Linked DNA regions of Caenorhabditis elegans. The protein of the gene in region 2 purifies or fractionates together with the protein of the main gene of each other region. This does not show direct contact. Each region holds a gene or a part of one and is shown on either strand. Other genes may lie near its edges. The genes, in order: gba-4 and ttbk-7.

The links.
Region 1: the proteins of ttbk-7 (region 2) and gba-4 fractionate together in Caenorhabditis elegans (co-fractionation; one large-scale study listed by BioGRID). This does not show direct contact.

Annotation. Positions count from the first base shown.
Region 1 is NC_003282.8:5,346,020-5,354,806, forward strand, and holds the start of gba-4 (Putative glucosylceramidase 4), read right to left. Parts: upstream 4,879-8,787; 5' UTR 4,820-4,878; coding exon 4,753-4,819; intron 3,403-4,752; exon of another isoform or gene 3,330-3,402; intron 2,911-3,329; exon of another isoform or gene 2,890-2,910; intron 2,703-2,889; exon of another isoform or gene 2,682-2,702; intron 2,543-2,681; exon of another isoform or gene 2,522-2,542; intron 2,277-2,521; exon of another isoform or gene 2,256-2,276; intron 1,802-2,255; exon of another isoform or gene 1,781-1,801; intron 1,669-1,780; coding exon 1,486-1,668; intron 1,198-1,485; exon of another isoform or gene 1,189-1,197; coding exon 1,039-1,188; intron 994-1,038; coding exon 687-993; intron 638-686; coding exon 397-637; intron 280-396; exon of another isoform or gene 256-279; intron 1-255. Other genes in the region: Y4C6B.7 (Activin_recp domain-containing protein), read right to left, coding at 5,490-5,564, 5,780-5,885, 6,099-6,178, 6,226-6,277, 6,959-7,020, 7,274-7,387; Y4C6B.1 (WH2 domain-containing protein), read left to right, coding at 8,473-8,601, 8,660-8,764. UniProt on the Caenorhabditis elegans protein: Glucosylceramidase that catalyzes the hydrolysis of glucosylceramides into free ceramides and glucose. C.elegans contains specific sphingoid bases, which are unique or different in structure compared to the sphingoid bases found in other animals.
Region 2 is NC_003283.11:12,892,029-12,900,815, forward strand, and holds the start of ttbk-7 (Protein kinase domain-containing protein), read right to left. Parts: upstream 3,845-8,787; 5' UTR 3,835-3,844; coding exon 3,769-3,834; intron 3,721-3,768; coding exon 3,637-3,720; intron 3,512-3,636; coding exon 3,445-3,511; intron 3,248-3,444; coding exon 3,033-3,247; intron 2,873-3,032; coding exon 2,448-2,872; intron 2,232-2,447; coding exon 2,082-2,231; intron 2,030-2,081; coding exon 1,883-2,029; intron 1,832-1,882; coding exon 1,606-1,831; intron 1,500-1,605; coding exon 1,280-1,499; intron 1,233-1,279; coding exon 1,122-1,232; intron 1,073-1,121; coding exon 963-1,072; intron 909-962; coding exon 621-908; intron 1-620.

The DNA.
Region 1 (8,787 bases), on a different chromosome or scaffold from region 2:
GTTCGATTTTAATTTTTTCTAAAACAATTTACACAACTGTTGAACTATTCGGTCAATTCAGTAATAATTGTAGGTGAAAGCGAGTTTTAAAATTAAAATAACCGTTCTAGTGTCTTGATTCGAAAAAAATTCGAAAATACTTAATTACAATGGAGTCTTAATAGTGTTAAAAAACGGTAAGTACCTAATAGAAAACAAAAAAATAAACAAAGGAAAGAGCTATAAAAGTTTTGAAAATTTTCAATAAATAAAAGAGGTTTTGTTTCTCGTATTGGATTACTGTTTTGTTTATAATTTTAATATATTTATTTTGAATGTGAAACAGTATCTAATTAATTTTTAGTCATTCAATCATTTCTACCTATTACTCAATGTTTTATCCCACCAATAACTTACTACATTTGGCCAGTGTGGCAAATTAATTCTCTGATCATCATTAATCATAATCTTCAAATTCTTAGTCACTGGTGATGAAGCAAGTGCTGGTCCCAAAAGTTTCTTTATAAAATTTCGTTCCATTGATGCATCGAAAAAGAGTGTTTGCCATTTCCAAAGTGGATCAATTCCAGTTGTTGGCTCGTTTTGTGGTGTCAAAGACCAAAAGTCAATACCTTGAGCGTGATAGGCTTCGAAGAATCTTTCATTTTATAATTTTATTTTTTATTTCTTTGAAAATAAGAACTTACTTTACAAAGTACTGTGCCCATGTCTGATAGTATTTTCCATTCTGATCTCCCAATAGCTCTCCGGCACCAACCATTCTTCCAGAAGTTTTCATCCATCCTGGGGAGCTCCATGGAGTTGCAAATAGCTTTAATTTCCCTCCAGAAGCTGTCATTGCCTTCTTGATAAATGGAATTTTATACTGGAGATCTTCCACTGTTAAATTGAAATTTTTGAGATCAAAATCAAATTTAACGTCGTCATAACTGTACTCGTGAGTTGAAAAGTCAGTTGAAGCCATTGGAACTCGTCCAAAAACATACCCGAGACCTAAATTATTTATTTTTCAAGCTTAATCTTTTGAAAATAACTTACCATCATCGGAAAAGTATTGCTGAATAATTTGATCTTGCATTGTCTGTGGCAGCATCTTCATATTAATTCCAGCAGCATCAGTGAATGCAGCTCCAAATCCCATTACCGGTTGAAAACTTTGAGTTGTGTTCACATATACTTTTGTTTTGGCTACAAAAACGATGTATCATATCAACAATTGTTACAAAATAATTGTGAAACAGTAGAATAATTTTTTGCCAACTTCAAAATAAAAAAATATCATTCTCTAAATTCTAATATTATAAAGGTTTTTGTGTTAGTTGAGCGGTGCCTGCCTCTCTATCTAAGAGCCTGCCTACCGCCTATTTTGCATCAGTTTCGAACCAGAAGTTACTGATAAGCTTCCGGTGTATTCTGGAGGCAGGCAGACAGGAATGCAGGCAAGAATTCTGTGCCTTCATGGAACTTCCTATACAATTAACGTACCTGTAGAAGAAGTTGTATGCTTCAATTCACTTCTGTTCATTCTTTTTCCATTTCTTGATGTTGTATAGACAACTGCTTTCCCAGAAGTAACAGTTCCAAGTGGTTCAATTGTATCACAATACGTGGCATTGCAACGACAAACTATTCCATACTCTTTCTTCACTTCGGAGCAAGGAAGGGACTCTGGAAATTGGCTTCAGTTGTGTTTAGTTAGTTGGAATGGTTTTGGAAATTGTGCAGGACTACGTGTTTAGAAAATGTCTAAAGCTATTTCCAGTTCTGTAAATTGTGGTTATGAAAATTTTTACCATACGAAATACATATTTCAAATTTTACATTTCATAAATAAATTTGTTGAAACGGAATTTTTTAAAACTGTTTTATCCATGTTTTGCCTGCACATTGCAAGCAATGAATACAATACATTAATTACCGTATTTCTTCTATTAGTCTTGCATATGCAATTATGAAAAAGCTTTTTTTAAAGCATTTTTTCTAAAAAAGTTTCTAAAATAATTTTTTTACAGTCTGCTGCCCATTTAGATTAAAGGATACGAAAATTAATTTTGAAGAAAAATAGTTACGATTAGAAAAATATTAAATTTTGCATTTAGCAGATTGAAACTGAGTTATTTTCCTAAAAAAAATTATAACTGTTATCTGTTATCTATTAATTAAGGTTTGTTAATTGTAAACTCTGATAATTCAAATGTTTGACAATTTGAAAAAATCTGATACATATGTGTATAAGCGTAATGAAATCATTGCTCAAATATTGAAAAAAGATACTATTATCAATTCAATACCAATCCAAAACTCATATTATAACACAGAAACAGTAATTTTTTATTGGGATAACAACAAAAAGTTATGAATTTTTTCTTTTTTTACTTTTTTTTACCTCGGAGCAGTAGAAACTTTTCATGTTGGCAATTATGTTAAGATTGATGTCTACAATGATTTTTGAAATGACAAATTTTTTTTTAAATACCGTTTCACATAATCTTTAGAAGTCTTCAAAAAATATTGTTATCGTTGAATCCAATTTAGATGTAGCAAAACTGACGAATCCGAACTAAGAATTAGGGTCTTAATTTAATCGATTTCTGAGTGCAAAAGTCCAGATTTGTCCGTTTTAGTCACATTTGGTTCGCATTTATTGAAATTTTATAAACGCATTTGAGGACAGTTATATCTAATACATTTTCTTGTTCGCAACAGAATCATAAAAGTGTGGGATTTTAACAGATCATGTTGGAACAGAGTTTTTTTTGTGAAAATAAATATTAAAAAGTTGTAGCTTCAAATGCATTTTTCATGCTCGATATTTGTTTTAATTTGTATTTTTAATTTGTAAAACTTCTGTATCAACTTTCCACAATTTCCACATTTTGTTTAAAAAAAGATTTGTTCGAATTGCACGAATTAAGTAATACAAATACTAACTCAAATATTATACCTCGGAAACGGCAATATTTTTCAATGGGAATTTTTAAATTTTTTTAAATAGAAGTTATTAAATGATTATTGAGAATTCAGTTCCATTGAATTCAGTTCCAGTATTACTGTTTCTCAGTCATGATATGACAATTTGTCATATCATAACTGACTAGGGAGTGCTTTCACTATACGGTGCGATCGAGTAAAAGTAAACGTGTTATGCGATAGCTGGCATCTTAGGCTTTCAGAATCTGTAATTTGTTTCGGCGGAAGACCTCTGTGAGTCTGGAAATTTTCATCTGAAAATGTAGTACTGAAATCAGTTCATTTCCTATGGTTAACAGTGGATTTTGTCTCTGGCGCCAACAGAAGTCTCACCACAATGGTGGAAGGGCGAAATCATCGCTTCGGTGGTCGAGTGGTGAACGCGTTCGCCTCTTGAGCAGAAGTTTGTGGGTTCGGTTCCCACACATGGTTTAAATTTTGGCCTTTTTTATACAAAATTTTTAGAACGGGAAACAAATGTTTAAAACAGTTTTTTGAGGTTTTTACATTACTTTTTTGCTTTTTGATTGAACCACAATTACCCTGGAAACTTTTCAGAAATTTTTATTTTTTTCGAAAATTGCCACTTTTTTCTCCCATGAGAAAATTGGTTCCAAAAATTTTGTTTGAAATTTTTTCAAAAATGTATGAAATATTGTAGAGTGTCACGAATAACTTATTTTTCATTGTTTTCAATGACCGAATCACTGATTCTGATGCCGTATCAAGACGTTTTACCAAATCGATATTGGCAAAACATCTTGTTTTTGAGGCTCCATATCTCTGCAGAAAAAAATCGCACTAAAAGTGATCAACTAGAAACTTGTTAAACACAATGTGATCTAAAACTTTTCAGTTGAACACTTTTTTGTAAAAAATTTGGTTGCCAGGTTGGAACCAATTGATTTGAGCGTCATTATTTTTGAATATTCTAAATAGTTAAAGGTCTATATCTTGGGAACCAAATTTTTTACAAAAAAGTGTTCAACTGAAAAGTTTTAGATCACATTGTGTTTAACAAGTTTCTAGTTGATCACTTTTTAGTGCGATTTTTTCTGCAGAGATATGGAGCCTCAAAAACAAGATGTTTTGCCAATATCGATTTGGTAAAACGTCTTGATACGGCATCAGAATCAGTGATTCGGTCATTGAAAACAATGAAAAATAAGTTATTCGTGACACTCTACAATATTTCATACATTTTTGAAAAAATTTCAAACAAAATTTTTGGAACCAATTTTCTCATGGGAGAAAAAAGTGGCAATTTTCGAAAAAAATAAAAATTTCTGAAAAGTTTCCAGGGTAATTGTGGTTCAATCAAAAAGCAAAAAAGTAATGTAAAAACCTCAAAAAACTGTTTTAAACATTTGTTTCCCGTTCTAAAAATTTTGTATAAAAGAACCCAAAATTTAAACCATGTGTGGGAACCGAACCGACAAACTTCTGCTCAAGAGGCGAACGCGTTCACCACTCGACCACCGAAGCGATGATTTCGCCCTTCCACCATTGTGGTGAGACTTCTGTTGGCGCCAGAGACAAAATCCACTGTTAACCATAGGAAATGAACTGATTTCAGTACTACATTTTCAGATGAAAATTTCCAGACTCACAGAGGTCTTCCGCCGAAACAAATTACAGATTCTGAAAGCCTAAGATGCCAGCTATCGCATAACACGTTTACTTTTACTCGATCGCACCGTATAGTGAAAGCACTCCCTAGTGAGAAACAGTAATATTTTTTTAGAACTTTTCTAAACACTTCCAGGCACTTCTACTACTCACTTGCATCGCTTGAAAATCCATAAAACGCCAGAAATATTAGCAAAGAAACGGATATATTCAAAATCATGATAGCCTAGTCTAGTGTATTCCGTTAAAACCGGACACTTTCCAAGACTACTAATGAATAAATGATAAGAACAATATTTGAAGACACTGACCACGTTTTTATAAAGACTAATCAGTTGGAATATTCTGATCAAAAAATAATTGAAACTGATAAGAAATTATGGAAAAAAGAAGGGAAAACACATAAATTATTGGTTTCAGGCTGCTAACTATGCAGGACATATATAGATAATGACGGGGGCAATGGACAAATCATGGTATGATAAAGTTCGTGGTATGAGCGTGAGTGAGCTACATGTTGTCACCTATAGTGATCTGAAAACAATAAAGAAATTGGAACTTTAACATATTATTAGCAGGTTCAAAAAATTTTACCGTTTCAGTGTTTAAATTTAATTACGTGGGAAAAATTAATGTAATAACACTCTCATGGTATGCTTTTTACTGTCGTTTCATAAAAAAAAAACTTGCACAATTTAATGAGATTTCAATTATAGAAGAAGTACGAGTTGGAACGAACCGTTTTGATGCTTCTGTAAATTTTATTATTTTTTGAAAACTTTGTTAAAAGGCTTTTTTTTTATTTTGAACATTTATTTCATGCAAAATGAACTAATCAGTTAGGGAAAATTTTAAACCATTAGAAAAATAATAAATTTTTTATTAAGAAATCAAGGAAGCTCGACAAAACTGCTCTTCCTGGTTGGAGCGACAGTAGTTGGAATTTGAACGATGTCTTCACTTTTCTGAAAGTTTAAATTTTGCTGTAATTTTAGTGTTATTTAAATAATTTGAAAACTAAAATTTCAACTGAACCATAATAGTTCAGCATTTTGGTTCAAATCAGCAAGCAATTGTTTTAGTCACTTGAAAAAATTACTGTTTCACAAGTTTTACTTGATTTTCAAATTTCATTAGAAAATTGATCTCATCCTATAAAGCAATTTCAATGCACACGAACATTCTTACGGGTTGCTGCAGTTGGCATGATGACGTCACCGAGTTTTGGAGCACTTGGAACAGCTTTCGATTTTGAGCTAGTTTCTCCGGCTTTGAACTCGGTTCCGCTGAAAAAAATTGTTTTAAAAATAGCCAATATATAGATGAAGTCTGCTTTAAGATTTTTCGATTCAACTTTTTTTCTAAAAATGTGTAATGAATCTTTATATATTTTTTTCTTTTTTTCTTTGGAATCTATTTAAAAATTCTTGTAAGTATTTCGTACCTAAAATTTTCGTATTTCCTATTTCAAAAAAGTTTCACAAAAAAAAGTAACTTACTCTCCCTTCCACTCGTTACACTCATCAAACTGGCAGCAACAAAAAGTGGAATCTTTGGTTTGGAAATGGCATCCGGTCATCTAAAATTGATATAAATTGTCTGATGCTCAGAAAAAAATGAACCAACCGGACATTTCTCCTCCATACTGTGCTCATCGCTCCACGAACTGCATTCACGTCTGCAAAATTATTATTATTCTTGGGCGTAATGTTAAGCATGTAATGTTAAACAATTAAATTGAATGAGTTTTAAAGAACATGTGAAACAGAAAAATTTTTATTATTTGAGTTAAAGGAAATCAAGAAAAATTTCATTGTTTCTGTTTTACTGTTTCTGATTAGAAATTAAGAATTCACTTTAATTTTGTTTTACTATTAATAAGCTTGGATCTCAGAGAGATTTTTTAAAAGTTACACACAAAAATGAGCTTACATGTCACTTTTTGATTTACAGTTTCAACTAGAAGATATATTTCACCATGTTTGACTAATTACATTCTTTCGGTCGATAGGTTGACAATGGGCTAGAAATTACCAGAATACACAATTCTAAGTTTTTGCAACTTTGCCTGAAAGAAAAGAGCAGCCGAGTTTTCACTTTTAGTCGCTTTACATTTTCTTTGTAAATATAATTTTTACACACCTTTTTTGGAAACAGCAGCTATCATAAATCTCAAAAGATATGAGCTTTTCCTCACAATGACGTAAAATTACGTAAAAGACGGAAGCGCCTATTATGATTTGAATGATTTGAGCAAATAATCAAGCTCTCTTCGAGAACTGTCCGCAAAAGGATTACACAAATAAACGAGGGAGAAGCCATGACTGACCATGAAACAAATAGACATTAGCTCTTTTACCTCATTTCTTTAGTTTTCTTATCGATACGTTGAATACAATAATTCGACATTCCTCCGCACTCCTGCAAGATTTTTTTAAAACTTTTTAATTCGTTGGAAATTTTTGTATTTCATCTAGTATTAGTTAAAAATTAAATTGAAACTGAGTTTCACCGCTTTTTGAAACTCGTACTCTTCATTAGCATTTATTAAACAAAAATTTGTCGCGGTGAGACCTGGTACCGTATTTTCTGCCGCAAAAAAAAAACAAAGTTTCGCGTATGGGAAATATACACATTTTTTAAATATTAATATTTGTAAATAAAATTTAAATACCTTTTTTGAAGTCTGATCATTGCTATCCAATGCGACGGTTCCTTCAAAGCATCGGAGAGCAGAAACTGTAGAAATAACAGCTAAAATTAGTAGAAAACCTATTTTTGCTGTCATAGTTTCGAGACTGAGAGATGTTTGTTATGGGGAGAGATCAAGACGAGAAAACGAAAAATAAAAATGTTACACAAAACAGATGTGATAAATGAACATTCTGTTGGTTGTGTGTTTGTTTTTGAGAATTGACAAGAAAAAGTGGAATTTAAGAGTTCTGAAGAACATTACTCATTGAAAATAAAAACTAACTTTGGTTAAACTTCATGAAACAATTATTGGGGAAATTGTACCACACCTTATAATGAGATGATCGAGAAACAGTAATTTTTTTCTAGCTTTGACAAGGATTTTTATAAATGGCTTCTTTTCTGCAATCTCCAGGTTAACAGAATATATCGTTATTTATGGGTCTCGCCTAGAATTTTTCAACGTGACTTCATTTTTGATGTGGCCTAGAAAAAAGCCAGACCTCGGCCATTGACTTTTTACTTCATTCTTCTGGATCGTCATCTGAAATCCGAGGGAAGTAGTTTAAACAAGGCTTTCTACAGTTTCCAATTTGTTTTTTTACTTGAAAAAGTATATTTATAACAAGAAACTCCGAAAGACATTCCACAGAAATCTTGAAATTGCGAATCGCGATATCTTTTCAGGAATATGTTCCCATGTCTTTAAAAGCAATATCATATCTATTGCGTACCCAGCAGGGTGCATTAAATTACCCCGAATCGGTTGTCAATTCAATGGCCATCATAAAATTTATGTGCCCTCTTCCCCTAGCAGTGGGTCTCGCAACGAACACCTGCCTCTCTCTCACACCCTCTGTGGTGTACTCCACCTGGACTATGTAAATAGTTTGGTGGGTTTCTTTGGTTATTATTAGTTTTTTTCTTTTTCAAATTAGCCCAAAACGTCTATTCTTGCAGACGTTTTCTTGAAAAATGCTTGAAAAAAGGTGTACGGTAGATTGGTGCAATCGCGCCCCATCGCACATCGCGGGGATTTCAAATGGAAATCCCATTTTCTTCAGCTTTTTCTTTTTCTCTCTTAATTTCAGCTAATTTTCTCTTTTTTGATGTCTTTTCCTCATTTAAATATAATAAATCAATGTCTTCCTCAATTTTATTCTTCAAATTTTCAGAAAAATGTCAGACACACCGTCAAAGAAGCAAAAACGACGAGCAACGATATTTGTGACGGGTCCACAGAGCAAGAAGACTATTTTCGAAGGTGAAGAGATAAAGGAAGAAGGAAATCAGACAACGTTACAAGATGTGAGTCTTTAAAATAAATCTGAAAATTAAAAACTGTACATACAATTTTAATTTTCAGCTGGCCATTGCACGTCAACGTCTTCACAATGAGCTTGCCGTCGTAAACACAACTTCTGGAATCGAAATTCTCATGCAAATCGTTATGGATGAACTGGAAGTGGTGGTATGCTTGATCTTAACATTCTT
Region 2 (8,787 bases):
GAATGAAATCTGATGAAAAAGTAAATGAAATATTTATGAAAATTTGCATGTTTTCTTGCACTAACTGTTTACATTCCTGCTTTTTGAAAACATTTCAAAATTTGCAAAATTTGAAAAATTGAGCTCTAAAAAACATCAAAACATTTTAAAGTAATAATTTTCAGTCTTGAAATTTTCTGGCATTTTAAAAAGTGTTTAAAAACTTCTCCTTGTTGTGACAGCGGTATTTTTCAATCAACATGCGTTTGGAGCTATAAAAGTTTTTTTTTTGGAATTTTTAACAGTGATGAAAATTTTTTTTAAAGTTATTGAATGGTTTTTAAGTTTACAAAAGTGTATCCAGAAAAGAACGGAATGTTTCAAAATCGATGGAACTTTTCAAAGAAATCGAATTCAATTGGCATTAGCACTGGATATTTTGGAAAATTCGAACTTTAATGAAACTGGGCACAAAAAAAAACGAAAATTAAACGAAAATTTTAAAATGTTTTTTTTCCATTTTCTATTTTTAAAGTTTCGATTTTTTTCAATGCTGTTAGATTTTCAAAATCCTTCCAAAAATTGCAAAACATGAATGTTCAAAAAGTGTATCTTAGTACTTATTGCTCAAAAAAACTCACCCTTCCATTGCTCTCAACACTTCTCCTTCTCATCCTCCGTTCTCGTCTCCGTTCTCGTTCTTCAGGTGATTCAAATGCATTGAAAGTTGCACTAATCCGTTGAGTATTCTGACTATTATTGTGAACTCCCATTGATGTTGAATGCCTCATTCCATAACTATTATCCTCATTTCGATGATTCATTTGGTATTGATGAGCAGGTACTGGGGCAGTATTTTGTCGATTCGCAGTCTCATCAATCGAGGTTGTCCTTGATAATCGACTACCGACTCCAAGATTGTTAAATGACTAAATTTTTCAAAAATTTATTAGGATTGTTAAGTTTGAAAAATGGATACTTACATTTATTAATCCTTTAAAGTGACTAATAATACTATTTGATTGAGGTGCTCCACAACTTGCTGTCCTGTGTATTCCACTTCTATCTTTTTCAGATCTTGATAACCGGCGTTCTAAAATATTTTAAATATGATTCTTGGATTCAAAAATATAATAACATACGTTGAATTGGAGATGCTCTTGGGTTCATTGGAGATGATGGTGAATTTCCTCCAGGTGATGTATTTGAATCCATTGATCTTGGAGTTGATAGTAGAGATGCTTTTGGTACAGCTGAACATTTTGAAACTATAGTTTCAAGGGTTTTAATAATAACTTACGGAATGCAGGATTTAGCCTCCCATGTCCCCGATCTTCTGCATCTCCACCATCCATCATTTCTTCGCAACTTGCATCAAATGATCCTTGCCATTTACTCATTAACGTCTGTTGTGTCCTTACATTATTTGCAGAGTTTTCATCCATTTGAGCATTTGTGTTATCGAACGATGAGATCTTGTTGGTTTTTGCACCAGATTTATATCGATTGTTTATGGACAGCTGGAAATTAGATTTGAAATGTAGTATACTTTAATTATACTTTTCATCTTTATAAATTTGTTTTATGAAATGTCAAAACTACGTTCAAAATATTTCCAAGACTCACTGTTATTGATTTATTGCTTCTGGTTTTATCCACAGGTAAACCGGCAACTCTTTTGATAGAAAGTGATGATTCAGCAACTTGTGGTTGTGCTTTCAGAATTGAAGATGGAAGTTGGAAGTTTGCTTCAACATCCGCTGTTCCACCTCGATATTTTTCATCGTCACATGCCGCAAATCTGGCGTTTACTGCGTCGATAACATCCAAATTGACAGTTCCGTATTTAGGTCTGAAAATTGGTTTTTTTTCTCAATGTTCTATATGAATTTGAGTAAATTACTTTAGGAATTCGTGTCTTTTGTATTTTGGTTTCTCCGCCGCTTTTTCGTGTGTACTTTCGAACCCCGCCCCAAGATTAGCCATTTGACCATTCGTTTGTTCGTCTTCGTCCTCACCCATTGTGATTGGAGCCTGAGTATCGAGAGCTCTGAAACTCAGGAGTAATGAATGGAAGTATTCTTTGAATTCAAAAAATCTACCTATTCTCGTTTCGTTGATCTTTGATGACTGCAGTCGTATGGGATTTCAGCCTAGCAGACAAATTCCCATTCGCCTGTTGTTTTTGCCGTGTCGCCATGTTGTCGTATCCTAATTCCCAGTCGTACGGTTCGTCCCAACTGATCTCATTTCTAGAAAAATACATTTTAAGAGTTTATTATGACAATAAGTGCATCTGCTATAATATGGGGTCATCTAAAACATTTTAAAAGGCAGTAAGCACGCATTGGGAAAGCGTAGGTCGCCTTAAAGGCATCAATTTTTGTGACTAAAAAACGGTACTTTACATCGAATCAAAATTTTCAACGATTTTTATGGAAGTCAACTGTATATTTTCAAAAACTCACTCAGCGACAATCTTATTAAGAAGTGATTCCAAGTATACATAATCAGGCGTATCTGCATATCCTAAAACTTTCAAATGTGCAACAAAAAGATGCATTTCATGTGGGCAATCATCTAGAAGAACAACCAAATCGGCTTCTTCCTTCATTTTTCCCACTTCATCCTTGTCCTTAATCTTTCGCCATGGTAATTGTCCTTGTAAGAACTCAGTGAGCATATAAAAAAGAGACCAAAGATCGTCTTGTCTTCCCATTTCTTTATTTTTATGAGCAGTTACTGCTGCATATCGAACTGTTCCACGGAATCCAGCTGCACTTCGAGGACTTCTGATTTCTCCTTTTGCATTCAGATATTGACGAGCGAGACCGAAGTCAAGCATATACACGTTTCGCATTGTTTGTGATGTGCGTCCCATTGCAAAGTTGGACTGAAAATGATTAATTTACAGATTAATATTTATTTATTTCAGACATCTATTTTTTAAAAATAATTTTGACTAAAATTTCATTAGGCCTTAAGATAATAGTTTTTGCAAAATCAATTTCTCAATTGTTTTTTTTTCAAAAAAACTTCAAACTTTAACTTACTGGTTTCACATCTCTGTGCAAGAATCCAATTGAATGAATTTCTCGAATTCCATTCAAAATCTGTATTCCAACACGAACTGCTGTACTCAAATTAAAGCACTGTTTCGGTGCTTCTCTTCTCAAATCAGCCAGATTTTTTCCTTGCAGACTCATTACCAAATAATTGAATTTATCGTTTCGTCCGCACCCGTAGAATTTACACGCGTGTTTTTTTCCTGAAACAAGGAGGTTTTATATCACAGGTTTTTATTGTGTAAAACGATTTTGTTTTCTCATTTTCCGTTTCTTTCAATATTTCTCAGAAACGAGATGCTAAGATGCCAACGAGACAGGCGTAATTAGATTTTTGATGACGGCTTGAAAAAAAAACTAGGAAAAAAAAAGCGAAATACGTCATAAACAGCCAACAAACCTTGAAGTCGTCGAAGAACTGCGACCTCCATTTTGAGCACTTGCTTTGTTGCTTTGCTTGATTCGACCTGAAAATGAATTGATAAAAAAAATGGTTTTCAAAATTTAAAGAAATTTAATACATGTGCAGGAAAATTAGGGTATTTCTATTAAAAAAGCAGACATTTCTCTCAAAAAAACATCCTAAAAATACCTTGATCGCTACCCGTTCATGGTGATTTTGAACATCTGTTGCTTCGTAGATTTCCCCAAATCCACCACCACCGATTTTCGCTTTCTGAAACCAAAACTTTTAGTTTCCGTAGCTTGAAACATAGAAACTCACTATTTTCCATCGTTCTCTGATGACCTGTCCAACTTGAAGAATTTCTCCTTCTGATGATGATGTCATTATTTCATCTCTGAAAATTTAAATTCAATAAATAAGAAAAATAAATGAAAAAGAGAATCTTTGAACGATGAAACGGCTATCGGACCGCAATAAGAAAAAAGCAAAACGAATGGGGAAGTGGTTGATGAGAATGGCATATTTCGTGAAGAGATGAGAAAAGTCGAATGGAAAACAGATGGGGCGCAAGAAAAGATGAAGCTGGACGAAGAAAGAAGGCGGTAGGAGGGAAAAGTGACAAATGCACCAAATATATTCTCTAAAATGGTTGGGGGTAGACATGGAGAAGCTGTGGGAGCAGCACACACAAAGAAAAAGGAGCGCCTTCTTCAAAATGACCAGCCGAAAAAGTATCAAGAGAGGCAACCTTGGAAGAGCTTTGGAAAATCTTCGAAGAAAGAAGGAAGAGATGTCCGATGGGGCTCATAAATCTCGCCGCGCATTGCCGACGTGTCACCTACTACTTTCTTCCATTTAAAAACGCATTCTTCCCATTTTGGAAGTGAGTCGGGTAAATAGAGGGCACTATGTATGTGGCACCAAGCAAAAGCTTATTTGATTTATACGCTCACGATTTGTCAAGTTAAGTTGCCAGAAATTACCATATGGGGGTTATTTAAAGTATTTTACGAAATAAAATTCTAAAGTAAAACATTACGGAAATGGAAATCTAAGAGCCGTCGAAATATTTGAAAACAAAATAATTTCCACAAACAGACAGAAAAAAAAGGAATTAGTTTCTGATACAAAGTTCTTGTCCACATTTCGGCAATGTTTTGAAAAAGCCTAATAAAGTTTAATAATTCCGGAATAAAGCGCTAAGTTTTTTCTTTTTTGGCCCAGTTTTTTTCAAGCCAAATTTGGGCAAGAAGCTAGCGCCAAATGCAGATAACTTCCACGAACTGTCCATGAAACAAAAATCGTGAAAATTCGAGAGAAAATCAAGAAAGTAAATTTAAAACAATTTACTAACTGCTAAAAGTATTCAGAAAATTATTAAACATTTGTTTTCCGATCATCACATTCAATTTCTTGTTTTTATTCTCTTGAATGTCATCGGAAGAAATGAACAAAACGATATAAATATAAAAACGAAATCGATAGCCTCCCCCCCCCCTGTCGGGACAAATCTCGAGAAAGAGAAATGCCCGCGTCCAGGAACAGCTGACATTTATTCTCCCGGATTGTTGAGCTAGAAGCTCCCGTGAGCCGCCTGCTCTTTTCCCTATCTTGATTGACGTGGCACAAGGACTAAAATACTGAAAACTCCCACGATTAGAGGGAGGATGTGGTGCACAAGGTGCAGAGATGCAAATAGATTCGAAAATGGAAGAAAAGGTGAGAAATCTAAAAATACTTCTTTAATAAATGGTCATTGATGATGATGATGATGGTGAAAAGTTGAATATAGAAGGCTATAGAGTGCTATTCTACGTAAAAAGGACCCGAAGAACCGGCCGTTTTGTTTGGATGACCATGAATAAATAACATTGGTAAAGTAAATGAGAGACAGAGAGACATACGGGACTTAACCGGGAGAGAATGAGTGGAATAGAGGGTCCCCGGGTTTTGTTTGAATATATGAACCAAAAGAAGGGTGACAAGAAAATAGGAAAAGAGTGCGTAGAAAATAGAGAAAAGAGGGGTGTAAAGTGCATTAAGGGGACCAGCTATTCGGCCGTAAGTGAACGGGAAACACGGGTCAGGATAATTGAGAGCGGAACGAATCCATCGGAAAATAGGGGGAGGACAATATAATCAGAAGATAAAGATCCGATGGGCATCGGAACTAAAGAGAGAGAATGACATAAAGTTGAAGGTTGCGAAATGCCGGAAAATGAGAAAAGGATTAAAAGAGGCGCAGGGATTAGAGTCAAGCAATTTTCAGAGTTAAAACAACAGGGAGTAAGAACCAGAAAAAAACGAGCATTTATCACAATTGACAAGCTTGTTTTCTTTTTTGCTCAAGACCTCCTGAGGAAAGCGGAAGAAGAGGCAAAAGTAATGAGTTTGTTGCCTGATTATTTTGGATTTCAGCTGACAATATTGAACAAAATATAGTTGAAAGAAGGAACTATATATATATATATTGCAATGAAAAGAAAAAAACCAAAATAGTCATGCAAATATTAGACTTTTGAAGGAGAAGAAATAAACTGATTTTGGGAGAAACATACGCACCTTTGTATATTGTTCAGAGTTTTGAAAACTAACGGAAGAATTTTTTCAAATAAAAAACATTCAGACAAACGAAACAAATTGGCAGGAAAATAAGTACATAGAAATTCGTTTTTTTGCATGAAATTGATATCAAGAAAAGGAAGTTTTCAAGGTCACATGTCTTTCCTGAAAATCCCAACAAAAGACTTTTAAAAATCTTCTGGTTCTTTTTGTTTCTAAAAAATTATTTTAACTTTTCAAAAGAATTTTGAACAAACTTTAGCCTCGATTTTTTAGAATTTTCTTATAGCTAAAAATTTATATACAATTTTGCAGATTATATTTTTTTCAGATTTATATTTATGTTTTTTTTTAAGTTTGTTTTCAACGATAAACATCAGAAAAATCCAATTTTCAGTAAGCATTCTAAACTAATAAAATAAACATTTTAAAGATTTTCCGTTTAGTCATCATTTTGAATTTTCTCATTTTAATTTTCTAATATATTCCCCGATCACGACATTGTTCCTCAAAAGAGGAAATAAATGACAAAAATTGGAGCAAAAAAATGGATTAATCTAAAATAAGAATAGGCACGCACTTAAAATGGAGCCCACAAGCAATTAAAAGAGCATTCCAAGTGCACTCCGGAAAACGGTAAACCCAGCAGATTCCTATCTGATCAAATTGAACTTTCAGGAGATGTGGTTTTAGATTTAGAAAGTGCAATGATTCAGATGGGCTAAAAAGAAAAATGAGAAGCATGTGTAATTTGGATTCTAAAACTGTAAGCTTATCTCTTTTTTTTCTTAAAAAAAAGAACGATTGCTACATCTCATTAAATGCAAAAAAAAGAAAAATGCATGAAAAAGTGCAATGGATGGTCTTTTCGTCAAAAACGGACAAAGTGAGCAAAAGGATGCTCGTCATTTTTGGAAAAGACGCAACGGAAAGTGGAAGGATTACATATGCCGGATTAGGAAAATGGGAGGAAGAAGCAGCAAAAGCAGAAGACGATGACACGTCAGGACACTTATATGTATGCGGGAGACGACGACCGATGGAGCAATTAAATTGACAGCCGGGCGGGAGAGTTGAGTCGCCAGAACATATTGGGTTTCGCCTTCACGCTTCTTGAATTTCGCCTCTCCATACCAAATACGATGTGAATTCCTAATTCTAGAGCATGTTGGAAAAAAAACTGAAAACTGCAAACGAGAAGGGTGCTTTTTTTTAATTAGAAATTCCGAGAACATCGAAATATTTAAATGTGTGAATGGTAACCTATTTTAATTTACTTTCTCATAAAAAAAAATATTTAAAAAAATCAATAGAAAAGTTCAATTTTGAATAAAGATTTCATTGTAATCTTTTATTGTTTATTGCCAAAACAAGACCATGAAAAAAAGAATTACTGAAACTAATAAAATTTTCTGACTGTTTTTTTTTCTTTACGAAATTTCTAAAAAATTGAAATTAATCGAAAGTTAAGTCTCACGATAAAATGAATGCGTCATAGGTAGAGACGAGATAGGTTCAATCACTTGAAGAAAGAAGAAAATGAGAAACGAGTTGGGATGTGAGCTTTTGCTAGCAGTCAAATGGCGATACAATCGACGGATAACGTGATATTGAGAGGTTGAGGTAGTAGTGCACACATCTACATTTTGGCAGAGACAGAGGTCGACAGAGCACAGAGTATTAAGGTGTGCTCCCGAGCGGGAAAACTATGAAGCCAGTTGGATTGGTAGCGCCAAGCGTGTCTCCGGATACTCCGCGTGCTCCGCGAGCAACAATGCGCGAAAAATGTTATAGTTGACATTTCAAAGGTTACGCTTTTCTTCTTTGCATCAGCCTGTTTGTGAATTGTTTAGAAAAAATATAGTTTTAGAAATTCAAGTTTTACATTTTATGTTCCTGTTTAACACTTCAAAATTTTCTCATTTATTTTAATATTGCATGTATATCTTCCTATTTCACGTTCACCTGCCAATCTCTCAATACAAACAAACATATTTTGAAGTAAAATTTAAAGATTAAAATTCAAAAATGTAGTAGCATTTGGTTATGATATTTCAGTCCAGTTGTTTATTGAACAGAAATGAAATGTATTTGTTTACCCCTCGTACACTGACTACTTTTTCATTATCGGTATCTTGACGGTTGTGTTGTGGGAAATTTCAGAAAAAAAACAACATTAAATGTGTTTTTGTACAGAGTCAATTAATTTCAAACGTAAAATCAAAACAATATGTTTTCAATTTTGAGAAAAAAGTTTTCAAATATTTATTTTAGCGTTTCAGGAATAATCTGAGACTCATAAGCGAGAATTTCTTCCCTATTTTCCAACTAAGTTTTAACTGAAAAAGAGGCTAATGTAGTTTAACTAGGTTGAAGAATCTCAGATTTTCCTACATCCTAGTGCATCTTTAATGCAGAAATTTGATAGTCCGGAAGATCATTGAATAGATGACAAAGTTCAAGTAAGAATCAAAAATCTTCAATCACAGTGTATCTTTACAAAACAAAAAATATCGAATTGCTTTCAGGGTGATCATGGCAAGAAAAAAGCGAAAAGTTTGCAGAGTCTGGTGAACTCATACTCACACTCGGAACACATTTTCCCCAGAGAGAGAGAATACACAATGATTTCGTCTTTTTTCTAGCAGGAAGCAATGTCTCAAACGCACTAAATCCAATCGACTCTTTCTTTTTTTCTAGAGATTCGCTTTCTTTCAAGAAAATATTTTTTGTTTCTGGTGAGAAGATGTGTTTTTGGAACAATTTTCAAAGTCA